2 linked regions of the Diceros bicornis minor genome follow. Each later gene encodes a partner of the first gene's protein in a complex. Links are inferred from orthologs where the notes say so. Each region holds a gene or a part of one and is shown on either strand. Other genes may lie near its edges.

What was found.
Region 2: the proteins of LTK (region 1) and ALKAL1 are in contact, whole or in part, in a crystal structure (PDB 7NX0), measured with the Homo sapiens proteins. The link is inferred for Diceros bicornis minor from reciprocal best matches to the Homo sapiens genes LTK and ALKAL1. Residues at the interface, in NP_002335.2 of Homo sapiens: Tyr124, His140, Phe143, Ala250, Ser251, Pro252, Glu253, Leu359, Phe360, Leu361, Gln362, Leu364, Ala365, Val366, Glu368, Glu372, Glu374, Arg376; in NP_997296.1 of Homo sapiens: His93, Arg96, Leu97, Asn100, Thr101, Arg102, Glu103, Arg112, Arg115, Leu116, Arg119, Leu120, Ser123.

What each region holds. Positions count from the first base shown.
Region 1 is NC_080744.1:39,197,191-39,213,232, forward strand, and holds the start of LTK (leukocyte tyrosine kinase receptor), read right to left. Parts: upstream 8,627-16,042; 5' UTR 6,400-8,626; coding exon 6,357-6,399; intron 5,792-6,356; coding exon 5,648-5,791; intron 5,521-5,647; coding exon 5,349-5,520; intron 4,871-5,348; coding exon 4,720-4,870; intron 4,576-4,719; coding exon 4,429-4,575; intron 4,211-4,428; coding exon 4,054-4,210; intron 3,979-4,053; coding exon 3,796-3,978; intron 2,954-3,795; coding exon 2,855-2,953; intron 2,460-2,854; coding exon 2,307-2,459; intron 1,871-2,306; coding exon 1,775-1,870; intron 1,486-1,774; coding exon 1,287-1,485; intron 765-1,286; coding exon 674-764; intron 536-673; coding exon 471-535; intron 281-470; coding exon 151-280; intron 56-150; coding exon 1-55. Other genes in the region: RPAP1 (RNA polymerase II-associated protein 1), read right to left, coding at 9,066-9,215, 9,322-9,381, 9,519-9,695, 11,391-12,147, 13,019-13,161, 13,402-13,554, 13,763-13,958, 14,240-14,349 and 3 more. UniProt on the Homo sapiens protein: Receptor with a tyrosine-protein kinase activity. Following activation by ALKAL1 or ALKAL2 ligands at the cell surface, transduces an extracellular signal into an intracellular response.
Region 2 is NC_080772.1:6,559,072-6,574,325, forward strand, and holds the start of ALKAL1 (ALK and LTK ligand 1), read right to left. Parts: upstream 8,601-15,254; 5' UTR 8,146-8,600; coding exon 7,962-8,145; intron 1-7,961. UniProt on the Homo sapiens protein: Cytokine that acts as a physiological ligand for receptor tyrosine kinase LTK, leading to its activation. Monomeric ALKAL1 binds to LTK, leading to LTK homodimerization and activation.

The sequences.
Region 1 (16,042 bases):
CTATGTCCTGGGCCAGCTGGAGCAGGTCCTGCATGGCCAGAGGTGATGGCTGGCCCTGGGTTGGGCAGAGGGCGCATCAGTCCATGCAGGTTTGGGGACACATGGTCAGGGTCTTTAGAGGGGCCTGGAGAGCTGGGAGAAGGGACTCACCAGGTGCGGCCGGCTGTGCCTCAGGAAACTCTTAATGTCCCCTCCAGACATCAGCTCCAGCAGAATTAAGCGAGGGGCAGCCCGGAGGCTGAGCCCCACACAGCGCACAATGTTCTGATGGCTGAACTTGCTGAGCGAGTGGTGCACATACCCCAACACCAGCAGGGAGAGAAACCATGCTCTAGGCTCCACAAAACCGGAGGGGACCTGTGTCCCTAGACTTGCTACCTCTCAGCCCCAGGGGGAAGAGAGGCTATTCCTGCAGGCAGTTCTTGGTGCCTCCCTCCCACTTTCCACCCCTGCCCCCGGCCCAGGTGCACCTGATGATGAGTGCCTCCATGAGGAAATCCAGCTCATCCTGACGAGAGCAAAGTTCTGGCAGGGTCTGGGAGGAAAAGAGCACAGAGCTCATGAGCTCCCCTGACTCTTCAGGGAGACAGGCTGACCCTAGTGCTGGCAATTGTTCCTCCCTCCATGGAGCCCTGCTCTCCTACCCACAGCCAGAAGTCCCACCCCCTCTCACCTTGATAGCCACCTGCAGGGGGCTGGGGTCCCCAGGAAGGCCGATTACCAGTCCCTCATAGACTTCTCCAAAGGCACCATGGCCCAGGGCTCTGCAGGGAGACAGGTTGGAAGGGAGTGGGTGGCTGGGCCCCAGGAAGGGTCCTAGAGGGTCTAGGGCCTCCTTTACCTCCCTTCCCCCTCATATGCCCAGCTGGCCCTAGCTGAGGATCTGAGCTCGCTCTACACCATGGCATATCCCCAAGTACAAGCCCTGCAGGGGCGATGTTGTCTAGCACAGACCCAGGGCAGAAGGGAGGGCAGGCATGGGGTCAGAGCCGGGGTGGGAGTCTGTGGTGAGGCCTTCCCTTGGGTCCCTGCAGACATCCTGGGGTGGAGGCAACCTTTGCTCCAAAGGAATCATGTTCTAGGGTCCCTACCATCCCAGAATTGGGGATGACAGCTGACCTTGGACAAGTTACTTTCCCTTTTGGAGCTTCTCTGGCCTCCATCTCCTCTACACAAGGAGTTTGGGCCAGATGCTCTCTAGGATCCATAATTCACCACAGCAGGGAGCAGGATGGGGGAGAGGGATTTAGAGTGCACAGGTTCTCAGAAGGAGGGGGAGGACTCACTTGATCAGAGTGACATTGGCTGGGGAAACCTCGGTAAGCCCTGGGGGCAGAAGCCAGGACTGGACCGGGCCAAGCCCCACCTGGCAGTAGTAGGGGTTTGGGGCTGTCTTGATGGTGGAGGTTCGAAGCTTGCTCAGCTCGACGAGCTCAGGGCCTGGCAGCCTTGTCCTCCACAGGCCCTGCCACTTCTGATGGTTCACTGAGGATGGGAGGGACAATGGCGTACTCTCTACCTGCCCATCAGACCTGCCCTGCCTTGCTTCCCCCTGACCAGGACTCTCTCCAGATGCCCATTAAGGTAAACGTTTTCCCCAGGTCTCCCCAGCTGCTTCTACTCTTAGAACCCCAGAAGAGTCCACCACTGCTCTTCTGGAAGTAGGGGTCTTGAAATCAGCCATGGCTGCCCCTGAGACCCCACAGAAGCCCATCACAGCTCAGTGGAGAGACAGGCAGCTTTGAATCAGCCATGCTTGCTGGACGCTCCATACCCAGAATCAGGATCCCACACACCATAAGGAAACTCAATGTCAAGGTCACCACCACAGCCACCATCAGAACCAGAGGGCCTGGGGGGGTGGGCAGGTCTAGGAAGAAAGAGAGACATCTCCAGTGGGAAGCTCCTCTCTATCCCTCCACCCCAAGTTTTACCCACGCCTCAAGACACAACTCAAGAGTTAACTTTTCCATGATGCTTTCCCCACCTATCCTGGACAAACACAACCTCTCCCTCCTGAGAACCCCTAACACACTTGACACCTCCCATGGCAATTGTCCCCATGAGATAGATCTAGCTCTAGATCCAGATATCTAGATATAGATGTAGACAGGCATCACCCCTCCCACACTAGACCATTAGCCTACATGCTCCTTGAAGGCAGAGCATGCACTGATGCATCTCCAGTCCCCCACCCAGCACCCAACACAGTGCCTGGCACATAGCAGGCATCTTTCCCCATGCCCTACTGCTCCTCCCAGCCCATGGCCCCAGGAGTCCAGACCCTGGACAAAGGCAGGACATACCCATGCAGGTGATGTTATCTGCAGCCAGCTCCATGCCCTCTGGGCACATGCATTCGGCCCACCAGACCTCCGCCTGCCACTGGCAGTCAGTGAGAAGGCAGTGACTGCAGTTGAAGTGCTGGCGGATCTCCACCTCACCATGGCTCTCTGTGACTATGAGTACAAGAACTGATGTTGCAGGGTGAGGGGGGAGCACACAGACTTTTTCCAGCTACATGGTTAATTCTAGCCCTGGACTTTGGAACAAGGAGCGGTGCCTGGCATTTAAGGGTGGGTGGGAGGGGGACTTTTGTCAAGCCTGCACACTCCCTCTTCAGGGATCCTTAAGCTCGCAGGTATTTAAAGAGAATTCATGGCAAGGAGATACTTGGCAAGTGCCCCAGAATGCTCCAAGCGACATCCAACTGACAGCCCTGGTCCCAAATGTTCCTGTGCTGTGCAAGAACAGGTAGTTCACAGTGCGGAGTTTGTGGCTCAGATGGGAGTGGGCTCAGGGATTGAGGAAAAGGGCTAGGCCAGGCTGAAAGGTCAGGGGCAGGGGCCAATACCTGCCAGAGGTTGCAGGTAGAGCTCATTGGTGGGGTGTATGTAGGACACTCCATCTTCCCCATCAGCCCAGAGGATGTCAGTCTCTGAGGCATCACCCCCTGGAAATTGAAAGTGATAGAAGGTTTGGCTACAAAATGCAGGGAGGAAGGGGCACACAGCTGCCTCACAGCTGGAAAACTGGTTTATGAACAGTGGGGAAGCTGGAGTCTCTTGGTGGAAACCCCAGTGTAGCTTCTCCACACTAGCATTACAATACAGGTGCTGCCAGCTCACAAGTGGGAGCCAAGCAGTCAGGGCGAGGGCTGGGGGTGCTATGAAATGGGAGAGGCCCAACCCACATATTCCATTTCTGTGATAATGTGTAGGAGATGATGTGTATAAAGTACTTATGAACAGCACAGCCCAGATAGACTCAAAGGCTCTGTTTCTTTACACTAGTGGTTTCCAAACTCTGGGGTGTATTAGAATCACCTAGAGGATTGATTAAAACACAGATGGTGGGACCCTCCCCTAGAGTTTCTGATTCAGTAGGTTGGAGGGCGGCTGAGAATTTGCATTTTTAACAACTTCTTAGGCGGTGCTGATGCTGACTCAGAGACCACATGAGAATTTCTTACTTAAACTATCCCTGCCTGTCTGCCTCCCTGCCCAGCTTGCCAACTCGCCCAGCTCTAAGTTCCTGGGACTGCTGCAGAACAAGGGGGGGACGTGTTGTGATGGAAGAGGTCCTGGATTTAAATAAAATCTAGAGAGTCCTGTCTGCACGTGTGATTTGCAACTTATGTGACCACCTTTTCTAAGAGCTCTCTACCTGCTCTGGCCTGGAGCGGGACTCAACGTCTTTCCCGCTAATCCTTTTGAGGGACTCCGGCCTGTTCTAAGGCTCTAACCTCACTTCACCCCAGGGCTGCCCAGCTGCCCTCCCCAACGATGCACCTACCCCGGTAGCCGCCGCCGCCTCCGCCCGCAGTGCAGGCCCCGCCGCCGCCCCCGAAGCCTCCGGCTGCGGCCCAACCCAGCGTAGCCCAGGCCTCTGCGCAGCCCCTGCCGCCCTCCGCCCCCTCCTGCAGGGAGCGGCCGGCCTGCGGAGAGGGGGCCCGCGACGTCCAGCCGCCCCCTCCACCTGCGGAGAAACGGCGGGACGGCTGGCAGCGGGGTGAGGAGCAGGCCCACCTCTCCCCGTGGCCCGCGCCCTCACCTGCCGCCCCGCTCCTCCCGCTGCTCCCGAGCGCCGCCGAGCGGTCCTCCAGTTTCTCAGAGGCGGCTTGAGCCCGGCCTCGGTCCCGCCGCCTCAGGTAGGCCCGACCGCCTCCTCCGGCCGCCACCAGCAGCGGCTCCAGCTCGCCGGCGCGCAGCTACCGGGCCAGCGGCAGTCACGTGAGGACCCGGCACTGGGCGAGGGCTCCCGCCACCCGGGCTGGAGTAAGGCAAGGGGCTCCCAGCCAGCCCCCGGGATCTGGGGACCCCCAGGCCGGTACGGAGAGCTCGTGTGTGCGCGCCCGCGGGGAGAGGTTTGGGACCCCGACGCTGAGCGCTGGGGGCGCGAGTGGCCGGAGCGGGGGCGAGCACGTACCCGAAAGACGTAGGTGGCGCCCCCGCCACCCCCGCCGCCTCCTGCCCAGCGCCGCGACCCTGGGACACCTTCGGTCCCATCGGTCGCCGCGTGCTCCTCAGCGGCCTGAGACTCTCCTAGGCAGACGAGCTGACTCTCCGGGCTCCCCTGCGGGCACCGCGCGCCCGAATCAGCGGACCCGGGACCCTCCCCTCGCGAGGCTGATGTCTGAACACCGGGGAGCGCGCCTCCCTCCACCCTGCCCTCGCCCTGCGGCGCCTCAGACGCCCCCTTCCCACAGGCTCCGCTTACTCCCGGACAGGCGTCCTCTCCCTGCTGCCCCACGAGGATGTAAAGCGGCTCCCCACCACGAAGGGAGCAGATGGCAGAGATGAAGACGCCATGCGCCCGCGACAGGTGGTTCTTGGCGCCTTTGCCGCCCGCGGCGCCGTAGGCGGAGATCCTGCGGAAAGCGGGCGCTGAGTCCACAGCCCTCGACCATCGGTCCTCAGGCCGCCCGTCTGGGGTAGAGGCTGGTGACAGAGGTGGCCCCAGAAGTTCTTATCTGAGGCACTTAGAGGCCGTAGTCGATTTTGAAGAGATGGAGAGACTAGGTTTGCACACCAAAAAATTACATTTTACACTTTTTTAAGGAGGCTTAATGGAGATAGGGGAGGCTCAAGCCATCCCTTGGCGCCGCCGCTGGTTTGGGGCCCTCTGCTTGGACAGGAACAGGCTCCGGGACGAGCTAACTCGGTGGCGACTATTTCGGCCCTTCCCCAGGTTCCGCTGGAAGTAGGGACAGTCAAGGTCGCCCAGTCCGCAGGTCGCTGCGGTATGCCCTAAGACGCAATGTGGTGCGCATGTGGCCTTCGTTCCTCTAACCGCAGAACCTCCGACTCCCAGCTCTCCACCCACCTCTCTCCCTGCTCCGCACTTACAGGTACTGGCCGGGGCCGGGCGACCGCCACAACTGCACTCCTCTCAAAGGCCCGGCGGCCCCCACTGTCACCACCACGCTGCTGCCAGCGTACGCCCCGTCGCACTGTGTTTGTGTGGGCCCGCGCGGACCACTGGCCCCGCAGGTGGAGAACCTCCAGGGCCCCTGGGTGCCTGGGAGCAGGGAGGGAGGAAAGGGTCATAGAGCACTTGTCTCCGTCCCCCCCCCCCGCCCCCCCCCCCCCCGGCCCAAAGGTCTGGGCGTGGTGAGCGGAGAAGGGAGAAGGAGCTCGGAGCTCACCTCGGGGAATTAGGGGAGAGGCTGGCTCCAAGCCGCTAAGCAGGGCGGTGACATTCGGGACCCGGGGCCTTGGAGCTGGCGGCGGCAGAAGCGAAGATGGCAGAAAAGGCGCCTGGGATCCTGAGCTGGAGCAGAAAATTGTGCCTGAAAGTTGACAGGGAGAGAGCAGCGTTGGGAGAGGGAGCAGGATGTTAATGGAGGACGGGAAATAAAGCGATAGATAACCTCTCGACAGCCAGCCCTTGCCTCTCGCGGCCACGCCCCTAACCCCACCTAGCCAGTGCACACCAGCGCTTGGAAGCCGGCCACAACCCAACTCTGGTCGCCGAGGCCCCGCGGGGTGCCCACTGATACCCCTGCAAGTTTCTCCCCTGGAGAGCCCTTCCCAGTGGATGACTTGGGGGCCGCACTGAGCTCAGTCCTGCAGGGCCCCCATCCTTTCCTTGACTTAGCGTGGTGGTTCCGCCCACGGGCGGTGCTGAGACCCCAGGGCCTGTCCCTCCTTCCCAAGCGTGATCCGGGGTCCTCGGATTCAGGCACTCACCGCGCTTCTCAGCATGCCCTCCCGGAACACGAACCTGGGAGCTTTGGCCGCGAGGGGTGGAGGCTCTGGAGGAGCCACTGGGACTCGGTCTGTCGCGACCGCCGTCCCTAACCCTAGGAAGGTGCTTCTGGCTGGACGGTTCGCTGACTGCCAGAAGGCACTTACCTGCGGCTCCGAGCCACAGCAGCAGCCAGCCCGGGCGGCCCATCCCCTGTTCAGCCCACTGCAGCTAGGGATGCATGCTCAGATCTTGCCACTTCGGTCCAGACTGCCGCTCATAGCAGTGTACAGCCGCTCTCTAGTCACCGCCAGGTCCTAAAGCCGGCCTGGCCACACCCACCTCAGACCCTGGGATGCCAAGGAGGGAAGGGAGGGGCGTGTGGGCAGCCAGGTCCCCATGCTTCCTGAACAGAGCTTGCAGCGCCTCCACCCAAGGGCTCTCTGTCTCCAGCCACTGGGTTTGCTGCTGGCTGCCCCAGGGAACGTAGTGTGTATGAGGCAGAGGAGGAAGCCACCACCACTTTTGAGGCAGAAGCGTGACAAAGTGGCACGCCATGCTCCAGACACCCTGCTGGGCTTCTAGGTCTCTCACATCAGGAGTAGGCGGGTGTGCGCTTCACTGGTGGTGGCGGCAGCGGTGGTGTGTGTGTGTGTGGGGGGGGTGATAACACATGGAAAGTACTTTTTAAACTGCCCCAAAGCATCATTACTTGCCATTACTTGTGTCTTTCAGTGCCTTTGTGACTGCCAGGCTGAACCTGCCGACACCCTCAGAAACATGGATCTCTGGGTTCACCTCATACAATTCTGTTGCCTGTGTTAACTGCACAACTTCTTACTGTGATGTGAAAGCCAAGTGAAGTCCTAGACCTGATGTCAGAAGCTCTGAATGCTAGTATTAGCATCCCTAGTCAACGGGTGATGGTGCACAGGTCACAACTGCTCGGAGACAATGTCCTCACCACCTGGAAAATCCTATGAAGAGAAACTCCTCTGTAACCCACAAGGCACCCTGCAACTGTGAGGGCCACTAGCTTTCAGGTGATTGTGTCTGGGGTCCTCATTCTTGTGCTCAAAATACTAATTTGAAGACTGAGGCCTGCGTTTACTATAAAACACTGGTAAAAAGAAGTTATAGTAGTTAGCTACTTGGTAAAGTCTCTGAGTATAAGTGCTAGGTGTAGACATAACAGTGATTTTGTAAAATCTCTGGTCCCCATGCCCTATTTATCTCTGTAGACACCCCACTTTGAGGTCACAGAATTTACTTTGCAAGGTCCCTGTCAGCCAATGGTTCTCAAAGTGTAGTTGGTCCTGGACAGCAGCATCACCTGGGAACTTGTTAGAAATGCAAATTCTTGGGTTTCAGCCTAAACATACTGATTTAGAAACACTCGTAGTAGAGCCCAGCAATCCATTTTAACACACTCTCCAGATGAGTTTTGTCACATGATAAGTTTGAGAACTATTGCTGTTTGCAGATATAGTAGTCGCTTAATAAAACCTATTGTATAGTTTTGTGTTCAGCAGCTCCATTTATGGGGAGTGGGTTCTCTCTACCTACTGACAGGGCACTCTGCACTCACCCTGATGACCTGTAAAAACAATGATGGTAAGTAATTCCACACAGCAAATGACACTGTAAGAAAGTTTATGTGTTAGAATTCAGACAAAACAACAACCTGGAAACTCTACCAAAAGAAAGATGAAGTGATGAACCAGAGTTTATGCTTTGACCCACTCCTCCCCAGCCTGTGCCTAACCACCAATAAAGTCCACAGTGGAAGGGGTGTTGTAGGACAGTGCTATAGACTGAATGTTTGTGTGCCCCCAAATTCATACAGTGACACCTAATCCCCAGTGTCAGGGCATCTGGAGGTGGGGCCTTCAGGAAGTGATTAGGTCAGGAGGGTTCCACTCTCATGGGTGGAATGGGATTAGCGCCCTTATAAAAACAGGCCCCCAGAGAGCTCCCATGTCCCTTCTGCCATGTGAGGGCTGTCGATGAACCAGGAAGTTGGCCCTTAGCAGACACCAAATCTGCCAGCACCTTAATCTTGGACTTCCCAGCCTCCAGAACCATGAGAAATAAATTTCTGTTGTTCATAAGCCACCCAGTCTATGGTACTGTTACCTAAACAATTAAGAGACAGCTACTGCACCAGTCTGATTTTTGGCTTCTTCAGGTCCCAGGACAGCAGCTGATAGAAACAGGGGACCACAAGAAGACAAGATGCTGACCTCATTAAGCACACCTATACTTCAAGTCAACTGCAGAGAGAGTCCTTCCAGAAGTGGCCCTGTTCTCAAGAGCACTGCCCTGGTCTGGCTCCACTCTAGAACTGGGACTCACATTTTTGTTATCCCAGATGTGGACTCAATTTTCACCTCCCACTCATGATTCCTCTCCCATCTCTCTCACAGTAGTCCTGCTTCTCCCCTGGGATAACCCATCCCTCAATACCAATCCTGAACTAACACGTCTGAAATCAGTCCAAATCAGATTCCCAAGAGATAAAAAATTTTTTTATTTCAATGCACAGCTATAGCATTCATATACCATGGCCTGGGGCTGGGGAGGAGGGCGGGGATACTAAATTTGCCTTGTCCCCAAGAGGGAGTTAAGTAGCTAAGTCACCCTTCACTCCCAGCACAGACCCTCAGAAGCCCCAGATCCTGAGCTCCAGATATCAGGATTTAAGGGTAGGGCTTACCCTGCTCCAGAAAAGTTCATACAGCCTGCTTCCAGGAAGGCAAGCCTTCTGCTCCTTTGTCTCCTGCCCACCCGTAGGACACAAAGCCCTTCTGTCTGGCCAGGTATCTGCTGGTGAACCCCAGGAGAATGCATCCATCTCTTCATCTGTAGTAGCTATACTAGATCTCTGATCCCCCATTTTGGAGCATCCCTGAGGTCAGTCTCTGGAGGTACTGCTGACGCAGAGCCGGCAACTGGGGATAGAGCTCAAAGCCCTCTAGGAGGGCAGAATTAGGAAGCTTATAGTGGAGGAGGTGCCGCCGGAGACCCTACAAAAAGGGAGGAAACTTCATGAATTGGGTAGTGAGATCCTGTTGAGATCTCTGTCCCTGAAGACCCTCTATTCTCCCCCCATCTAGGATGTGCCCCACCTACCTCATCTGCCAGCAGCCAAGTTTTCTGCAGCATGCTCCTGCGGGCAGCCTTTACCTCGTCCTAGAGGCAGAACAGGGACAGGTGGCACTGGGCCAAGGGCTGGTACCCATCACTGGCTTGCCTGGCCCTCACCTCCTCCCCAGAAGCAGCTCATCGCAGGCTCCCTTCCTCCTTATGGAGATGGGGATGTAACTTACTGAGCTCTTTGGGTCCTGGGAGAAGATGAAGCTGTTGACATGGGCCACAGCCACAACATAGAGCACGGGGCACCAGCGTGGACGGAGTGCACCAGTAACCAGGGCCCGGAAGTAGAGCTGAAGGAGGGCCAAGTTGTCTTCAGGAGGCCCTGTGTAGCACTCCAGGGACACAGGCAACTGTGACAGGGGAAATGAGACATGTTGGGTGAAGGTGGGAATGCGTATCACCCAAATGCAGGGTGGGTGGCTTATGGTCACATGAACCAAGTCACGAGGGCAGAGATCAGGTCCTAGACAGACACGTGTCCCTCTCTGCCACAAGGATCAAGGTGAAAGACTAAAGAGCTGGAAAGCAGGGGAAGCTGGGAAACTGAGAAGAAGCTGTGAATTTTTACTGCCTACCACTACTTGTTTAATCCATGTAAAATTAAAACTTTCAAAATGTCATCTTCAACTGCTCAATTATATTGTCAAATCTTTCAAAAGTTCATGTTCTTTGGACCACTAATTCTCTTTCTAAAAATTATTATTAATTCCATGCAAAAATGATTATGAGAGAAATAGAGATAAAGTTAATGTCCAATGGTGTTTATTACAGTGCTACTTAAAATAGCAAAAAATCAGAAACAACTTCCATGCCCACCAAGCGGTTCTGATAAAATAAATTGGGGGATACCTACACAATGGATTATTATGTAATAATAAAAAATGTTGATTTATTAGAATATTAATGATGTAGGGAATGCTTATTATGTAATGTTAAATGAAGAAAACATTATGCAGTGATCCCAATTTTATAAAAATATATATGCACATAAAAAAGACTAGAAAAAGACAAATCAAAATCAAAATGGTTACCACTGGGCAGTGGCATTACGGATAACTGGAATGTTCTTTTTAATTCTTAAAAATATTTTATATTTTTAGTTTTTTATATAAAATATACACTTATATTTTATATACAAATATCGTGTATTTATATATTAAAATATTTATATTTTAAGTTTACCAGAATAAGTTATAATGAAAATAAAAAAAATAAATCTTACAAAAAAATAGTAACTCTTTACAGCTTATAAGTTTAACTCCTTAGCCTGATATTTGAGGCCCTCTAAGGCTTTATTAGTCTTGTTTCCAACAAGTTCCCAAACTGAAATCTGTTCTAGACTCCTCCCTCCTCCCACCCTGTCATACTCCTTTCTGCCTCTGAGCTTTTGCTTATGCTGTTCCACTAGGTACATCCTGCCCTTCCTCCTCAACAATCCAAATTCTACGCAACCTGCAAAACCCAGATCAATCCCCACTTCTACAAAGCCTTCTCCTTATGGGAGGCCCACTTTGATCTTTTCCTTCTCTGAATCCTGACTAACACCTAGAATTTGAATGATTTAGAACTATGTTGGTTTTTTAGTACATCTCTTCTTATCTAGATTATAGCAGCTCAGGAGCAAGAGCCATGTTTGTTAATAATAACAAACATCCACTATATGCCAGATACCATGTTAAACCCTTTTCATGGGGGCCAGCCCCGCGACCTAGTGGTTAAGTTCCATGCACGCCACTTTGGCAGCCCAGGTTTGGGGGTTTGGATCCCGGGCGCGGACCTACACCACGTCCCTCCCCCATCTCTCCCCATGCTGTGGCAGCAACCCACATACAAAGTAGAGGAAGACTGGCACAGATGTTAGCTCTGGGCTAATCTTCCTCAGCACAAGAAAAAAAAAAAACTTTTCATGGATTCTCTTAATCTCCTCAAAGCCCCTCAGAGGTAAGATAAGGAACTGAGGTCCACCAAAGCTCCCCACAGCTTGGGACTGCCCCCAAGGTCCAGTGTGGGTGCCCATGGTAGGCTCTGCTGGGCTGAGAAAGTACCTGGGTCAGAGGCAGGCCCAGAGCTCGCAAGGCTCCCACGTGCTCCCCAAAGAGGGTGAGACGCAAGGTGACGCTGAACCGACGCTGCAGGGGAAGGAGTACCAGAGCCCCGAAGAGGTGGTCTCCAAAAGAGACAGACTCAAAGTGCTCCAGGAAGTTGGCATAGAGGTCAGGGAAAGACGTCAGACCAGGAAGTGGGCAATCCAAGTTGAGGTTTGGCAAGACTTCGGGCTGGCAGAGCTGGGCCAGGAGGGCTGCCACCAGATGTTGTATTGGGGTCTCCCGGAACAGTTCACTGTCCACCAGGAACACACACATGAGCCGTGCCAGGCGGGCAGCAGGAGGTACAGCCCAGAGGGCCTGGGGGCGCCAGCTCTCTAGGACTAGCACCCACTGCAGGGCCCGCATGGCTGTGCCCACAGTGTCAGCAGGAGGGAGCCCCGAGGGAGTGTCTGAGGCCCGGTGGTAGAGGTGAATCAATGGCAGGAAAGGCCAGTCAGTGGGCAGCAGTGGCGCCTTAGGCACAGGGAGCAGCAGGGCTGGGATTCGCTGTAGCTCCCCTCGATGCACGGCCTGGGAGGCTAGCAGACTGGCTCGGGCCAGTGAGCAGTGGGTCAGGTAGCAGCTGCGAATGCTGGGGAGGTCCTGGCAGGCCTGAGCTAGTTGAGGCCCTCGTCCACACCCAGGGTCCCTGCCACTCCCTAAGGACAGCCGGTCAGAGAAGTCAGCTGCCTCAGGACCCCCTGAAGCTCTTTCCCTGTAAAAGAATCCAAAAGCCAAAAATGAGGGCTGGAACCACAGCACCCAGAAGGCCATGCCAGCTCTCCAGGGCTTCCCAGCGGCTCCTAGGTCCAATCCTACTCCTCCCTGTTCCCCTAATAACCTGCCATGCAGTGTGTGTAGCACTTAAGAGGATGGACACTAGAGCCAGCTGCCTGGGTGCGAATTTATAGAACTTCTCTGTGCCTCAGTTTCTTCACAGTAAAATGGAGATGATAATGATAATACCTATTTCTTTTTTTTTTTTTTGTAATTTTTTTTTGTGAGATCAGCCCTATGCTAACATCTGCCAATCCTCCTCTTTTTTCTGACGAGGAAGACTGGTCCTGGGCTAACATCCGTGCCCATCTTCCTCTACTTTATATGGGACGCCGCCACAGCATGGCTTGCCTTGCCAAGCAGTGCGTCGGTGCGCGCCCGGGATCCGAACTGGCGAACCTCGGGCTGCCGCAGCAGAGCCCGTGCACTTAACTGCTTGCGCCACAGGGCTGGCCCCAATAATACCTATTTCATGGTACAGGTAAAATACTTAAAATATAGACAAATACTTAAGAGACTACCAGACAAAGAGTAAGCACTGAGTAACTGTTAGCTATTACATGTGTGTAGCTAGTTTATATACCACTTTTAGCCATATAGTCACACTGAAGTCTCATGATATTCTCTAGTGTGGTTATCCTCATCCTCGCTTCACTGATGAGGAAATGCAAGGTCAGACAGGTTAAGTGTAATCCATGGAAGAAAGAGAATGAAACCCAGGTCTCCTAGTTGCAAATTCAAGGCTGCTCTGTCAACAATCACAGCAGCCTCTCAAAGGGCTGAGTTGATGCCACCAACCCTGGACTTACGGGAGGAACTCTGGCCGGAATATACAGCTCAGCAGTAGCTCATGGGCGAGGTGCTCGCTTCCGGGCAGCAGCCGGCTCAGCAGGGCCAAGGCCACGCCATGATGGAGGACAGCATTTGTGGCCGGCTCTGGCTGGAGTGTTGCCTGTGGACAGAACAACCAGGAGGCAGCAGGGAGAGAGGGTGAGACGGGACAAAGCAAAAAGCAGTGAAGAAGAGGAGATAAGCAAAGGGATATATGCTGAAGGGCACAGAGCCTTGGCGTGTCTGGAGGAAAGCAGGAGCTGGCGGTCTGCCAGAAGCGGCACAGGTTCCAGAGAAGCAGGATGCAGCTAATGCAGGGCGGGGTGGGGAGGAACCGACACAGACAGACAGGGGTACCCACCGTTCTCTGAGCCAGAGTGAGTGCCAGGTACTGCAGGTGGTACTCATGGCGCAGGGCCCACGCAGAGAAGGGTGTGAGGTGTGGAGCAGCCACAGGAGCCACACATTGGAGGAAGTAGTTCTGGAGTCCTGGGGCAGCCAATATGGCGGCCAGCTGAGGAAAAGCAAGCTTGTTCAGATCTAGAAGGTGACTTTGATTCCTTCTGGGGCTCCCCAGATAGCTCCCTCCTCCCTAGCCAAACTCAGAGAAATTGCTACGGGCAGAAAAGGCCTCCCTTCCCAAGGGGCACCCTCCCCCTTTCTTTCTGACTCCTGCTATCTTGGTCCCCTGTCTGGCCCCTAACCAGGCGCCCACAGCTCACCTGGCCACATAGCCCCTTGTGGATCTGGGCCAGGGTGTTGAAAAGAGAGAGGAGGGCAGTGAGAAACGGGAAGGGGGAGGCTGAGCCAGCTAGACTGAGAGGGGGGCGGCCTCCTGTACAGCCCAGTGACACGAGGCTGGAGAGAGTTTCAGGGGCTGGAGCACAGGACAGCGGGTTGCAGAGAGGGGAGCAGCGCCTGAGGGCAAAACAGAGAAGTTGATGGGGGCTCTGGCCTGATGTGCGCCAGGCTGGAAAAGAGCTGCTTGGTCTGCGACCAAGGCCAGCAGGGGCTTGGCTCTGCAAACGAGTGCCCACATTCCTCAGAGCTCACCGTAACTGCTGCCTGCTAGGGATTCAGGTTTCCCTCAGGCTGAGGGGTTCCACTTGGGATGAATTAGGAAGCTAAACCCAGGAATTCCACAAGGAGAGAAACCGCCTCCTCACTCCCCTCCACAAAACCACACACACAGTACATACCCAAGGGAATCGCACAGGCTGCCCAGAGTGGGCTGGTTCAGCAAGGGCAGCAGCAGCTCCTCTGACAGGCCCTCCATGTCCTGAAGCCAGTCCCCTGGGCACAAGCTTGGCTGGAGGATCAAGGGGCTCACTGAGCTGATGGCCAAGGACACCTATTCTCCTAGACCCTGTGAACCCAGGCTAAGCCCATGATTCCAAGAGCCCCAAAGAGCCAGTGTTTGGAGGCTTCTGCCTTCTGACCCTTCTGGAGGGAGAGAAGACCCCGAGGCTGCTCCGGCACCCACTCTCTAGGGCTCCTAAGAGAGCATAAAGGCTCCAGGGAGACTGATCTGCTGTTTGGGGTCTCTGGTCCCCACCAACATGGCTCCTTGGAAGCTCCACTGGATATGGAGGTGGAAAGAGGAGGAAAGGTGGGAGGAAAAAGGTGGAGAGTAGGAAAAGGTGGGAATGGGGAGGCAGGAGTGGAGAGGTGGAGACAGAGGGAGAAAGAGGGTGGAGGGGTAAGATGGAGGCAGGACACCCAGGGCATGGTGGAAGGCAGACAGGCAACACTCACCTGCTGGCTCCAGGCCTGGTAGTAGGCGTCCAGGAAGAGCAGGCAGGCAGTGGGCACCGGGCCCAGGGCACTCCACATCTCAGGTCTGGGCAGCAACTTCAAGGTCTGTCTTAGACATGGCTCCACGAGAGGCTGGAGCCCAGACACCTGTGTCCAAGTGATCAAGGAAGAGGTGGCCGACAGACTGGCCTCAGCAGAGTCACTACAGGAGTGCCAAAAGGGGCTGCAGTGAGGATCTGGCACCTTAACCCCCCTTTAAGCTCTAGCAACCCTCTCCCTGTGGAGGAGCACTCCCACCTGTCCCAGAGCTCCTGGTAGGACATCCCTGCTGGCAGCTCAGGGCTGTAACCTACCTGCTGCGTTCAGGGGCAGTACTGCTGGCTGCCAGGGTCAGCTGAGTGAGGAGAGAGAGCAACGAGGCTATCCGCTGCATGGATAGGGGCTGAGGGGAGTGGGGGCTGAGCTCCTTGGGTACAGCCTGCAGGGCCTGCATCAGCACTGGGTATAGCTCCCTGGGGGAGAACAATTACTGCCTTCAGTGTATGAAGGGAGATGGACATGTCAGACACAAGGCAAGGCCCCGCCCAGGGATCTGCAGCCGGTTAAGGAGGAGCAGGAGGAAGAGGCCCAGGGCTGGGTACTCTTGGAAGGCTTCAAGAGGGAAGGAAGGCTGGGGGCTGAAGGGAAGGAGGTAGCATTGCAAAGCTTCCCCCCAAGAGGGAATGTAAATCTGATTTCGCCAAGACACAAATGCTGTTGTGCACAGAATGTGGTTAACCCTGTTTTGTTCCACTTTCCCCAGCTAGTCCTGATCCCTAAGCCTTCTTCATTCCTCCCAGAATCCCCTCTTCTTCATTCTCAGCCTCCTTCCAAGACTGAAACCTGAGCAAGGCTGAGTCACCAGGTTAGGCAAGAATGCAGAACCACGGGGGTCTACAAGGGAACCTACCCCCAGCTCTCCTCACCGGTAAAGGTCACCACCCTGGCCATAGGAGGCGGCCACAGCCCACAGACGGAAGGACTCGGTGCTCAGAGTCTCGGCTTCCTCCAGGGGCAAGGCCAGTTCCTGCGGAGGCTCAGCTATAAAGCGGCGCAGGCGGCTCCGGAGATCAAAGCTGCTCAACTGGGGGTGGGCAGAGAGTCTGGGGATCAGAGTTAGCTGGGGGTCCCAAGTTTCAAGCTTGAGGTTCTCTCACTACAGAGATTGGCTCAACTCAGCCAATGTCCCAGCCCTGTTCCAGGTCCCT
Region 2 (15,254 bases), on another chromosome or scaffold:
CACCCAGGCGAGTTCGTGAGAGAGGACTGATTTTGTCCTGTGGGTTGTATTAATCATGCCTCTTTGTTTCCTATATTTCTATGCTTTGACATCTGGGGCCTTGCTGACCCTGGAGAGACTGCCCCTCCTAGGGTAGCCAATGGCTAGAGACAGTAACGCCTGCAAGCCCGCCTTCCATCTGCAAGTCAACCGAGCCAGAGCCACACTCCCACGACCACCCTTACACTCTTATACTCGGGGCCAATATTCCCCAGGGTGGGCACCAGGCAACTATAGACAGCCCAACACCCCAGAGCCCACTGAAATTATTCAAACTAGCCAATCCTAAGCCTGCTTATCTTACCTTGCCTTTCTCAAACAAACCAGGATACAGGCTCTTGCCCACGCTTTCCCCTTTCTCCTCTGCCTCCTGCCTGGGCCTGGTGCTTCCTCCTATGGCCCCGTGCGGCGTGCTGTGCTTCCTGCCTCTAGGGAACTGGGAGTAGAATGTCTTCCTTCATGACAGTCACTTCCACGTCTATGTGTCTTGCCATACCCAATTAAAGTAAATCCCGGGTACATTTTAAAACACGAGTGGTGGTAGAAACTGGAAGAAACGGTAACCTAATCATATTTATTTTATATCATCTGGCAAAAATGCAGAAAGTGGTTACAAGAAAGCTTAGACCTCTCCTTGTACTCTTCCATGACAATTTTAAAGTAACTTTTTCTAAACATGTTGCTTCCTAGACGAGGCAAAAGAATTCTTTGCATAGCAAGAGTTTTCCAGTATATTTATTTTATTTTTTTATTTTAGCTTTATTGAGATATAATTGACAAACTATGTTTCAAAATACCTTACTGTGAATGTCACTGAAATGTGTAGTTACTGCCTGATTATCATATGTTAAAAGTTTTACAAAATAATTTAAAATATTTAATTAAATCTTAGAATAAGCACTCACAGGAAAGATTTTTCCTAAAAGTGAAATTTAAGTGTGTTTAGGAGATTGGCTAGATAAAGGTCACAAACAGTAATACAACTGAGCCAAAATTTAACTTCTTGCTATACAGGATAAGCAAGATCACTACTTACTATCCACATAACCTAACCTAGGTGTTTACGTTTCCTTTCTTTCTTCTGAAGTACCTTTTATTTTCACTGTGCTCTATGAAGAATTTTTCAAGGAGTGGCTATATTAACATTTCTTCAATTAACATAGTACTAATGGGTAAATATTTCATGTAATTAATTTCTATTCTTTTGACTTAAAATTCAGACTATAAATCCTGCTGTTTTCAAACAAGACTTTATTTTTAAATCTATTAAGCAATACATGAGATAGTCACAGAAGAGAGTTATACAAATGGATAATATTCCAAACCCAACATGTAGGTTGTGTTTTTCCCTTCTTAGGAGCAGGCATGTCTTCTGGGCACAGAAAACCTCCTATAAACATAACCAGGCTTTGAAGCAGGCATGACAACATTCACCTTTACAGATGGGCCACTGCTGCCTCTGGCAAGTGAGGAGCTTGCCTTTTAGACTGGGAGCCCCATCAGGCACTTGAAGCACTCCCTCTGTTTAGTCTTCACAAGAACCTCTATGATGGGCTCTTCCCTGTGGCACACACGAGACACCAGAAACCCAGAGACGCACCCCGTCCAGGGCCCACAGCTCTGTGACCCAAGCAAGCCCAGACCCAGTGCTTTCTGGCCTGCAGCATGCTCCCTGATCAATGGCCAATTTGATACTATAGATAATCTTTTTACAAATCCATCAGCCAGAAATATTGGCCTTTCGGAGTTTAAATTGTTTAGTGTTTGTTTTCTTTTTTACAAAAGTAACTACCACTTAATAAAGATGTAAGACATTTTCTCAAAAGTTGGCTCACATAATTTCTCTGTTGTCCACAGAGAAAACATAGTCTGCCAAGTGAAGTAGACACGTTGTTTGATAAATGAATAGGGCTATGCATTCTGTAGAATTTAAGCAGGTTGAAGGCTCATATATCACATTTTTAAAAATATTAACAAAAGTACAAAATGTTTACAATGAGCATACTATTCAGGAACATCAGTTAAATTTTAGATGAATAACTTGTCATTTTATTAAATTTATCTCAATATTTATTTTTCCACTGAACAAGTGTATGCCTTTTATTGTAGTCACACTTCTTACACCACTAGCAGCCTGATGAGTCACCCATAATGCCCCCCCCTCGCTGCTCTGCCCTCCCCAGGTGGCCTTTCCTTCTTCACCTGGTACTCTATTCTGGCTGGCCTTGTCTATCTAGCATCCCCCAGGTGCTGAGGTAGAGCTGGGCTGCCTGCAGCAGCCAAAACAATGTTTTCCAAAGTGGACTCCTTCAAAACTACTTCTATGAGATGGAAGTAAATGACAGATTTTAAAAAGAGAGAGAAGGAGGGAGGAAGGAAGGAGGAAGGAAGAAAGGAAGGGAAGGAGGGAGGGAGGGGGAAGGGAGGGAGGGAGGAAAGAAGGAAGGAAAGAAGGAAGGAAGGAAGGAGAGGAGGGAGGGAGAAAGGAGAGAAAGGAAAGGAGGGAGGGAGAAAGGAGGGAAGGAAGGTTAGTTTGGCTAATACCGGTTTACATCAAGTTTCCTGTCCCACAGGTCTCTGCAGTTCTTGTATAGTGCTTCTCTAACGAGGGACTTAATGGTCATGTTCCTGAAGCTGGTAGACCAAGGAAGCCTTTTTTCATAGACTATCTTTCAAAACACACTGGAAAATGTACCTATAGAGCTGTGGGTGCCTGTGGGGATGAGAGAGGGAGCAGTGAGCTACCGAGGAAATAGAAGCATGGCCATGGTTGTGGAGGGAAGTCAGGAGTTGTCTCTCTCAAAGAAATTTTCCAGAAGATTCTGATAAACCACTTTTCTCCTCCCCTCCGCAATTAAAAATCTCTAGTGGTTCCAAAAACTCAATAGTACACAAGAATCCTCAAAGAGCTTGTGGATGCACACGCAGGGGCTATACTCAGAGGTTTAAGATATCCAGGATGCAGTGCAACAATTACATCTGAAACTGGCCTCTCAGTTGATTCTGAGGCATACGGCCCCAAGAGCCTCATTTTAAGAACCATTGCTCCAGAAGGTATTAAGGGCAGCAAATGTTGTATTGTCTAAACTTGGTTATAAATGCTAAGAAATTAGCTCAGGACTCAGAATGGCACAGATTAAATCGTAAGAGGATAGGTCTAATTTGGCTTTGGGGGCAAATAAAAAATCAAGTTCTTTTACTTTTAAAGTTAAATTTTTAAAAAAACTCAAATTTTCAAAATTTCGGTTCTAAAGAAAAAATTCTTCCTAAGTGTCAACTTTATACAGTAACTTTGGCAGGCTACAGGGTATTAAAACTGAGTAATTCTCAGTCCCCAACTTAAAGAGGCTTACATTCAGACAAATATAATAATATTTGATGATAATATAATATTGAACGTACACAAGTTACAATATGATACCAAACGTACATGAGTTACAATATGAGGAGTGTTGTAGGAGGAGAAAAATGCTGTCTGTGTTTAAAGGAGAAAGAAATCATTACAGAATGAGATAATCTAAGCAAAAAGGCTCACAATAATTCCAAGTAAATCACATTTTTAATAGTATTTTAATGTTATTAATATGTAAAATACTACACATTTTCAAACATGATATAAATATTTTAGCTACTATCTCCTGATAGCTGCTGTTGACAGATATAGAATTAAAGTTCTAACAAATGCCTAAACTCCAGAACACGCCACTTCCCTCTTCTATGACGTTTCCTACAATAGTAGATACAAGAGGGAAACATCTGGACTCTGCACCAGTCGCGTGGCCACATGTTTTTGTCTTTCTACACAGCAACAAAGATTTTAGAAATCTACTCTTAAATGCTCCAGAGCTCATTTCCAGCAATAAAAGTGATAAAAAATAAAAGGAAAAAAATTAACATTAAAAAGGAACTTTTTAAATCCAGTTTTCCTAGCCAAGATATGATTGAAAAGTAGTCTCCTAGGATTGTGTCATTGCAGGGAATAAGAAGCCATCGTGTGTGACTCTGTCAACTTCCTGCACAGAACTTCTCTACTTACCAGCTAGATGAAGGAGCTCCTGCAAACAGACAACAGTTACTACTCAGAAACACTCTGAATGCGCAGAAGTGCATCCATGTAAGTTAGCTCTGGATGCTCATGGCATGTGTCCTTCTGGTGATAGCACTCGCCACATATACTTGGCAAAATCTCATACACAACCTTTCCATCTTGACCTCTTCCCATGCCAACAGTTTTCAGTAAATCAAATAGCTTCAAGTAACTCTGCAAATAGAGTACTAAAAAGTACCCATCTGTACCCCCTTCTGGGTGATATGCAAAGCAGGGAAAAATTATTTTTATTATCATGTAGAAGAAATTGTTACTCACCAGGCAGGACTGGCTAAGAGGGCAGATATAATAGTAACAGACTTGCAACAGAGGGAATTTGGGTCATACACATAGAATCCCACTATCATGCAAGTCCCAGCAGTATTCAGTATATTTTTTTAAGTTTTACGTTTTTTTTAAGTTGTATCAGAACTGTGGGGACATTTGCAAAGTGAATTTAAGATTTAGATATTTGTGAACACGGAAATAACTATAAAGACATCACAAAGGAAGATGGCCCAGAAGGATAGGTGGGATTCTGACAGGCAAAGATGAGAGAAGCACACTGCAGGAGACAGCAGAAGCGCAGAGGCATCTGGAAGGAGCAGGCCGAATGCCTGTGACTGGAACAGGGGCACTTACTGTGGTGCACTGAGAGCCACAGGAAGGCAGACGGGGCAGGCCACAGGGGACTGAATGTCCTGTCTTCAAGAGAAGTTAGGGCTTGCTCAGAAAATTAGGAGAAGCCACTGCCGATCTGTGACTGGGGAGGAAGTCACTGTGACAGGCCAGCACTACTTACGAAGAATGTTCTTCTGCGATTGTTCGGAACAACCTCATCAAAATGACCTTCCTGTTCTCGCCTTAAGCCCCATGCCAGAGAGGTTTTATATTTTAAAAAAAACACACACAACACAAATTTGATTCCAGAAAGTCTGCAGTATAATGTAAAGGTTTACTGAAATCTCTTGAAAAGGCAGAGGGGCCATAATATACACCAAACTTTCTAAAAGTCTCCCTTATACTTCTATCTCCCCACATTTCACACCAACTCCTTTTCTGTCCCAAATTCCTCCAAACATCTCCTGTGCTCCCACCACTGCCCATTTCTCAGTTGTGTGATCTTGTCTTTACTTCAGTGGCAAGTGCTTCAATGCTCCCTTTCTTTGGGCAGAGTTTGCGGTAGGATTCTTTGCTCCATCCTGCTGATGTGATGGTTAGAGACAAGGGAAGAGAGGAGTAACAGCCATGAAAACACACACCTTCTAATTCTTATCTCATTAAGGCAGACTCTGGCAGGGGGCACTAATGGAGCTGTGGAGACAATCTAGAAGGTCAATGTCACACTGTCATGAGGGCTTGAACTGGGGTGATGGGAAGGACAGAAAAAAGGAAGAATCAGATTCTAGAACATTTGAGGCAGGATTTCTTAACCAAACTGAGCTCCTGGAGAACCAGAGCCAACAATATCTGTTAACTTCATATTCCCAGGCCATCAGAGGGACCTCAAATGTGTGTTGAATGGCTAGATGAATAAATGCATGAACAATGGGCAGGCTGTGGGGGGGAGGGAAAGCCAAAGACAGTGAATCCCAAGTGCACCTGGGAACCTAACACTCACATTTCCTTCCACGCCACCCCACAATCCTAATGGTATCCTCCTGCTCACTGTCTGGACACAGGCTTTCAGCCTTACTGCTCCCTCTACCTGGAATGGTCCCCCTACCTGGTGCCTCACATCCATATTTAGGGAGGCTGCCTAACCTGCAGAAAAGGGAGAGCACACAACTACACATGCAGCAAGGATTTCAGAGCCCAGAGCATGCACCTTAGGTCTGGGTGACGGTGCTTACTATGCTGCAGAATTAAAGGGGCAGGACTCCAGACACATCTGGAGGGGACGAGAGTCCTGGGCCTCCAGAACCTGGGAGATGTTTCCTTCTGAATGAGCTATGACCCCCATCGCCACCTGAGAGTGTCCTGTGAGAACATCCAGATAGGTTGTCCTCTATTCTCATGTCCTTGTTGGTCCCTGATCCACACCCAGGTGTTCCATTCACAGACTCAGATATAGATGTAATGAGCCACCCTTTCTGCTCACGTTAATAAAGTACAGTCATCAAAAGAGGAGACCATCATAAACAGCTACAGAAACAATGGACTCGGAGGGTGACCCACAGATCACTTTCTCTCAGGCTGCATTGTTTTTTAAAACTTCAGACGGTGGCCACTTTTATTTTAACTTTTAATAAAATATTCTGTTTTCTCCTTTGTAACTCACTTCAGTAAGTCTTCACTGTTTTTAACCAAAGAGAAAAGATCTGTTAAAAACTTAAATGAAACAGATCTGAATTAACGTGTAACCATAAATGTTTCTGCAGTTTGAGAGTTTCTCCCACTCTTTTACTTTCCAAAGTGACACTGCATTCTCTGAGATAAATATTTGGGCTAACAATAATTTCAAGTCCAAGTACATGAAGGGTGTGGCATCATCACTGCATCACTGCTGTGGTCACCATCCTGCTCCACCTCCCTCCCTGAAAGCCCTGCGCTGGCAGGTCACCCTGGAAAGCTCTGCCCAGGTCCTGGACACAGGAACAACCCACCTCAACTTTGAGGCCCTCCCCATCACCCCCTTCGCTCCTGTCGCTGCCCGCCTCTTTAGGTTTCCCTGTGCGCCAGCCTTCCCCTCCCTCCACACCCAGAATGCAAACTCAGAGAGCACAGACACCTGGCTGCCTGCTCCTCCCTGCGACCTCAGCCCTCTGCACGAGGACTGGCATGCAACAGCTCCTCAGTGAAGATTTGTGGAGTGAATCAGTATATACTTATATCATAACTATTATGAAAGAAAAATGACATTAAATAATCCCTCTTTGCTTTCTTACAAGTGAAGCGTGATGCAAAGGCGTTATGAGGTGACAGCTGCTGGGCTTCCCCAGGCAGGGAGCTGGGACCTCGCTCTCAGCAAGCCGGGCGGCCCTGAGGAGGGGCCCTTCTGCTCCCAGCCTAGCCGGCAGCTCCACCTTGCCCTGTAGTTTCACAGGCTCTAAACAGAAACACTTTTGAGTAGCTTCTCTCTTCTCTCCTCTCTACCTTCCTTCCTGCCGTGGCGCCCTGCACTCCTCTGCGCCCGCTGTGACCTCCTTGTGCCCTGGGCTTTTCCGGTTTCCCCTCATTTACTGCACTTCTCTAGCTTGGGGTGTCTCATGACCCACTATTCTGGCTATTTTCTCTCCCTCCTCATTTCTCCTCTCAGCCCTCCTTGGGCATCTAAGCAGCCAGGAAGCTGAGCGCCCGGAGCTGCTTTGCGAGCTGCAGGCAGCGTCTGGGGCCTGCTAACCTGGCCTAGGAAAGGTCAGCGAGAAGCCACCGCGGCATGCTGAAATTCTTGGTGAAATTCGCGCGTTCCTCCACCAGTCCCTGTGGCCAGCTTGGAGCGGAAAGAAAGGAGCATCCCGAGCACGTTCAGGTGTGACGGCAACGATCGCATTTAATTCCCAAAACCTAGGAAGACGCAGAATGAAGCGCTGACAGGTACTTCGTCAGCTGGGACTGAAACCCAGGTCTTCTGGCTGCCCTATCAGCCTACGTAAAAGGCCTCTCACACCCGGGAAGGGCCATATCAAGCTGGTTCCTTTGTTACTTAAGTCTCCACAACGGTCAATCTGATCAACTCAGTACCTCCTTCCCTGAGAGCCGGTTATCTGCAGAGAGGGTCTCCTCTGCTGTGTTTAGTTCAGGCTTCCCAAAGCCAGTGCCTTTCCCGGCTCCAAGAGGAATCCCCTAAGACCCAGGCTCAGCGCGAAGGACCGGCCGGGAGGGGACTTCTTACCTGCGCTCCGGGAGGCGCTGGACGCCGGGCCGGCCCCAGCCGCGGGGAGGAAAAGCTTGGGTTCCTCGTTGGCGACGCGGGCTCCCCTGCGACCCCGGGGCCTCCCCTGGGTGTCCTGCGGGGACAACGCCAGCGCGAGCAGGAGCAGCGCGGGCAGCGGGGCGCCTGGCTTGGCCGGCCGCATGTCCGCGCGCCCGAGGACAGGGCAGGGGGCTCCGGGCGGGCGGCCGCCGGGGCCGGGAGTGGAGGTCCGCCCAGGAGAGGGGCGGCGGGGCTGGGCGCGCGCTACCGGCCGCCGGGGTCCTCGCCGTGTCCCCTTGGGGTTCGGGCGGGAGCGGCGCTGGGACTTGGCCCGCGCAGGCCGATCTCTGCTCTCTCGGGGTCGCGGGGCGGGGACGCGAGGCGGGGCGGCAGGTGGGGACCGCGGGGGTGGCCCCGGGGACAAGGCGAGTCCCAGCGCCCGAGACCCTCCGGAGTCCGCGCTGCCTCCCCCGACGGACCGGAGCCCGGGCTCAGCCTGGTCCTCGGGGCTCCCTCGCCCCGGCCCCCCGGCTCGCGTCCCCCGCTCCGTCCCTGGGAGGGCCGGGTGAGGACCCGCCGCGGCGCCGCCGGTTCTCTCGGGGCTCTGTCTCCCGCGCCCGCCCCGTCTACGCGGTCAACAGAACCCGCAGCTCTGGGCCCGGACGAGGAAAGCAGCGCCGGGACTCGGCCTGAGGGGCGGAGACCGCGATTCTGGAGGCCGAAAGGCGCGGAGTCCACTTTCTCCCGCCCAGAGCCCTCCCGCCCTGAGCGGTCCCTCCCGCCGCCCCCGCCGCGCTCCCGGGGCCCAACCTGCCCGGCGGGGGCTCCGCCCGGCGCGGGGCCGCCTCCCCTGGGGCGGGGGCGGAGCGGGTCCCGGGTCTGCGCTCTGCACCGCCCACCGCGGACGCCCAGCTCCTCGGGCCCCGATTGGAGTCCCCCCGGAGTCACCGGTGTGGTGTCCCCACAGGTGAAATCACCACGGTCCACCAGCACGCCAAAGACCGCAGACGGCTAGGTTTTTTAAGATAAAGAACTCTGCAAATGTTTTGTCCATGCTAACGATAGAAAAATGAGATTAAGTCCACTTGTCCTGATTAAAATAAAGGTGGACATCTCTGATCAAACCGTTGCTCTGTAAAGTACTGTGATTTTACTCATTTGATTAGCCCGCTTTATTGTTTTATGTTAAGTATGTTGAGAAATGTTTAAATTGCTCGCTAATCAATTGCGAATTATCTTTTCAGATGCAAAGCGGCAAATAGGTGAAAGAGAGAGGGAAGGAATAACCGCTTTAGGCATTGCCCTAAATTACCCTACAAAGAGATCTTGTCAGTCACAAACCCTGAAAAATAATCCCAACTCGGTCAAATAGTTTTTCTAGATTTGGTATTTCCAACATGTCCGGGAAATTGGGGAAACATAGCAGGCTTTACAAGAGCCCTATAAACATCACGCTTATGAATGAAACTCGGGGAAGTCGTCATACAGGCGAGACTGCGGCTTCGAATCACTCAAGGAAGCATAAGAAACAAGTATTTCCAAAGCACACTCAATGTCATGTGAGAATGGCTTCCATCGTAGGAGACGCAGAAAAGCCATCTCAGAAAAAATACATTTTAATGTATTTTAAGACTCTTTTAAGAGTCTCAGAAGGCCCTAGTTAGGTGGAGTAAGTTCCTTCTCACAGCTCTATTCAAGTGAAATAAGAACACATTAGGAGTCCACGGCCATTGGCAAGTATTTCAAAAATTAATTTTAATTAGAAACATAATGAGTTAGGGACGCCTATGATAAACTATGGGAAAAACACAGTGTGAAATATTGCTGGTAGAAGAAGTGACACAGAAATGACAATGAGAAATGGACTCCAAATCAACTATAAGGAAAAAAAATAACCCTGGAAGCTGGGTTGTCTCCCTGCTTTCTCCATATTGAAACTAGAGGGAGTGAAGGATCTGAAGAGGTTTTCAGAGCCTGACGCTTGGAGCTCTGCTCTCTGTTCAGTCATTAGCTATGTGACCTTGAGCGCGCTAGTGAGCTTCAATTTTCTCTCTGACAAAGTGAAGAGACTGACTTTTAGTAGTTCTCAGACTGCAATGTAACGTGTCTGTGAAGAATGCAAATTCTGATATTCCCAGGGATTTCAGCCCCACATGGGAAATGCCCAATGAATCTGCATTTTAAAGGACTCAGGTAGTTCTGAAGCAAGTGGTCCTTGAAACCCACTTTTATTCATTCAACAAAAATTATCTGAATGCAAACTGTAGGCCAGGCACAGTAGAAAACACTGGAGCTACAACTGTGAGTAAAATAGACAAGATCCTCATCTTTGTGAAGCATCTAGCTTCAAGGATGTAGCTCCCCAACATAATGGTTTTACCATAAACAAACAGGTTGCTTATAATTAATTTACTCTTTGCTTTTTTTCTTTGTTTTGTTCATTGTTTATCCTTGACTCCTCGTCTTACTGGCCCAACTTAATGCTCCTTGCTCTACCTCTTGCTAACTAATTCAGAGGCAACTTTAAGTGTTGATGGAGATACAATCTCAGTAACATATGCTAACTTATTTTTTTAACAGACTTATTTTTAGAGCAGTTTTAGATTCACAGCAAAATTGAGAGGAAGATACAGAGATTTCCCATATACCCCCTGCCCGCCCATACACACCCATAGCCTCCTCCATTATCAACATCCCCAACCAGAGTGGGACATTTGTTACAACAGATGAACCTACATTGATATGTCATTATCACCCAGAGCGCACAGTTTATGTTAGGGTTCACTCTTAATGTTGTATATTCTATGGGTTGGACAAATGCATCTACCATTATAGTATTACATGGAGTAGTTTCACTGCCCTAAAAATCCTCTGTGATCCACCTATTTATCCCTCCCATTCCCCTGCCCAACCCCTAGCAACTACTGATCTTTTTGCTGTCTCAATCATTTTGCCTTTTCCAGAATGTCATTTAGTTGGAATTGTCAACACTAATAATCAATAACCAATCTATAGATAAGAAAGATAGAGTGATATTTATTGAGCCTAATGTAAAGACTAGCCCAGAAGTGCTCTCTTCCACAGAGAAGAAAGCACTCCAGAGAAGTGTGGTTTACAGCAAGGTTACATACCCTTTCAGAACAAAGAACATATATCAACATTTGACATTACAGAGCAGGTCGACTTGACCATGGTTCTCTGGGATGAAAAGCTTATCTTCAAAGAAGTACTGGTATCGGCATCAGAGGGAGGAGACACTACATTCTTATCTTTAAAGAGTGCATTCTTTGTTTTGGGAAAATGTTTGAAGCAGATGTACAATGCATGTTTGGTGGGCCGTAAGTCAGGCTGCTGTGGGAAAAACAAGTTTTAGGCCGAATCAGATTTAAACCAGAATGGCTTCCCCGTATACCTTGATGTGTGAAAACTTAATATTATTCTTATTATTTTCATCAGAATCATACAGTAAGTTTTTCAGATTGGCTTCTTTCCTTAGTAATACACATTTCAGTTTTCTCCAGATCTTATTATGGTTTGATAATTTCTTTTCTTTTTAGCACTGAATAATATTCCACTGTCTGGATGTACCACAGTTTATTTATCCATTCACCTACAGAAGGACATCTTGGTTGCTTCCAAGTTTTCGCAATTATGAATAAAGCTGCTGTAAACATCTGTGTCCAGGTTTTTGTGTGGACATGAGTTTTCAGTTCCTTTGAGTAAATACTATGGAGAGCAATTGCTGCATTGTATGATAAGAGTGTGTAGTTTTGTAAGAAACCACCAAGTTGTCTTGCAAAGTGGCTGTACAATTTTGTATTCCCGCCAGCAATGAATGAGAGTTCCTGCTCTGCACATCCTTGTCAGCATTTTGTGTTGCTAACTTGTTTTTAATGTATAAAGCAGGGATAGCTGTGTGGAAAAAGGTACTTAGACAGTCACTAGTGTTTTAAATAACTCAATATTTAACAGTGCACGTACTAAAACAAGTTTTTAAGCCTTGAAACTGAAATCTTCATTTCTTTATAAAATGGCTAATAAACTGAACATATTAAGATCCCCTAAATATTTAACACCAACAAACCCTATTCAACATTTTAAATTACAATCACAAATTTAATATATTTGATTCTTTCAAACATTTTCTTTTGAGGGGAGTGAGAACATTTCAGTTCAACTCTCTTACCAAATTTCAATTATATAGTAGTGTTATCACCTATAGTTACCATGTTATACATTAGATCCTCAGACCTTATTCATCTTATAGCTGAAAGTCCATACCCTTTTACCAACCTCGCCTTATTTCCCCCATCCTCAGCCCCTGAAAACCACTTTCTACTCTGTTTCTGTGAGTTTGACTTTTTTAAAATTCCACATATAAGTGATATCATACAGTATTTGTCTTTGTGTGGCTTATTTCACATATATATATATATATGTGAAATATATATATATATATCATGTCTTCTTTATCTATTCATCTGTTGATGGACACTTAGGATGTTTTCATATCTTGGCTATTGTGAATAATGCTGCAATGAACATGGGAGTGCAGATATCTCTTCAATATCCTGTTTTCATTTTCTTCAAATATACAGTCATGCCTCACATAACGACGTTTTGGTCAACGATGGACCACATATACAACTGTGGTCTCATAAGATTAGTACCATATAGCCTAGGTGTGTGGTAGACTATACCATCTAAGATTGTGTAAGTATGCTCTATGATGTTGCACAATGATGAAATTGCCTAACGATGCATTTCTCAGAAAGTATCCCCATCATTAAGTGATGCATAACTGTACTCCTGGAAGTGAGATTGCTGGATCATGTGGATCATATGGTAGTCCTGTTTTCCATAGTGGCTGCACCAATTTACATTCACACCAACAGTGCACAGGGGTTCCCTTTTCTCCACATCCTTGCTGACACTTGTTCTCTCTTGTCTTTTTTATAATAGCCATGCTAACGGATGTGCGGTGATATCTCAGTGTAGTTGTGCTTTGCATTTCCCTAATGATTAGTGATGTTGAGCACCTTTTCATGTCCATTTGGCCATTTGTATGTCTTCTTTGTAAAAATGTCTATTCAGTTCCTTTGCCCATTTTTCAATAGGGTTGTTTGTTTTTTGCTATTGAGTTGTGTGAGTTCTTTATATATTTTGGATATTAACCTCTTATCAGATATATGATTTGCAAATACTTTCTCCAATTCAGTAGGTTGCCTTTTCATTTTGTTGATGGTTTCCTTTGCTGTGCAGAAGCTTTTTAGCTTAATGTAGTTCCACTTGTCTATTTTTGCTTTTGTTGCCTTCCCTTTTAGTGTCAAGTCTAAAAATCAGTACAAAGATCAATGTTAAGGAGCTTTTTTGGTATCTTTTCTTCCAGGAGTTTTATGTCAGGTCTTACATTCAAGTCTTTAATCCATTTTGAGTTAATTTTTGTGTATGGTGTAAGATAATGGTCCAGTTTCATTCTTTTGCATGTGGCTGTCTAGTTTTCCCAACACTATTTATTGAAGGGACCTATCCTTCCCCAATGTGTCTTATCCATTGCATATTCTTGGCTTCTTTGTCATAAATTAATTGACTATATATTATGAATGACCATTTGTCTGTGGGCTCTCTATTCTGTTCCATTAATCTATGTGTCTGTTTTTATGCCAATATCATACAGTTTTGATTGCTATAGCTTTGTAATATAGTTTGAAATCAGGAAGTGTGATGCCTCTAGTTTTGTTCTTCTTTCTCAAGTTTTTTTGGCTATTTGGGCTCTCAAACATCTTTAAAAGACAAAATGTTAAAAGGCACAAGTATTGAAAAACGTCTTGCTACACTTTCCCAAAATTATTGATAATATAAACTTAATTTTGTAAAAATTATCTCTATACATATTTTGCACCTTCTGGGATAACAAGCTTATTTTTCCTGACCAAGGTGAATAGAAGTCCTGTTTCAGGTCAGCTGAGATTATTGATTCAGGTTTTTCTGTTAGAAATTCAGGACGTCAATTCAGTTTTGAATTCAGGGAACAGGTCAGGACTGTAACACAACCTGGGAGAACATCTAAGACAATTAAACCACATCATGGTGTTTATGGAACCAGGCCCTTTCCTATAGTAACAAAACCTTTCAAGCTCATTTCTCTCTAGAATTTGCTGTATTACATATGACCCTTACCTTTTTTTTAAAAAACTCTTACAAAACTTTTAAAATAATTTCCTTCACAATTTTCTTCTGCCTATATTAATGGAACTTTACACACACACACATACACAAACACACCCCAGGCTGAAAAATTGTTACATAATGTTTCACTGTCTGGTTCGACCTAAACTTCATTCAATACACACGTAGTTTGAATTGAGTAATATACAACATATTCTGTAAATATGATTGAAGAATCGTGCATGCTTTTGCCTACTCCTTTTGAATAACATTAAGAATTCATAATAATTTTCACAAAATTATTTATTTATTTTTTTGATGTTCAAACAACTCAGTTCAGTCAGCTGGAACCTCATACGCTGTCTCCTTTCTCCCTGACACTCCACAAACATCTGTGACAGCATCAAGCATCCTTGCTTTCTAGCACCGACAAAGGTGTCCAGGTACATCATGATTCCCCTGATTCCTTTCTCTCAAGGAGAGGGATTGAATCGGCTACCGTCCAGGAGGTTTCAGCGGAGATGAATATCAGATTGCTCCCCATGACAAAACAGGGCAGTTGGGATGAACGTCAGCAGGGTAGCAACGACCTAAGTTTTAAAGTTCATGAGTTCATGTGGCTGTTTCCAGTTTAACTCTAACTTTACTAACCCTTTTCTTAAAATTATTTTTCAAGTATGTTTTTAATTTTCCATTTTTTAGCTACCAGCTTTTCAGAGTTTTCATTGTGTGTGTATATATATGGTTCATACAATTATACAGTAGAACAAAGAAAAGGAAAGGAAGGGAGAAAATCAGTAAGGTCATTTATAACTTAAATGAGTAATAGGTATATTTATGAACTAACATTTCCTATAACAAACTAGTTTTATGATAACATGCAATTTCCACAAACAAGTTTCAGAAATTTTGAACATTAATAAGCTTTGGAGTTGAGTTGCATTACGGACAGTGAAAGACTCTATGGTAAAACAATCGACAACCTAAATCCTTACCTCTACACTGCATGTCAGGAAAATGAAACAAAGAATCTGTGAGCCGTGATAAATGTGACAGCCAATCTCATTTAAAATCAATGAGTTCCACTGAGCAGACAGGTAACAG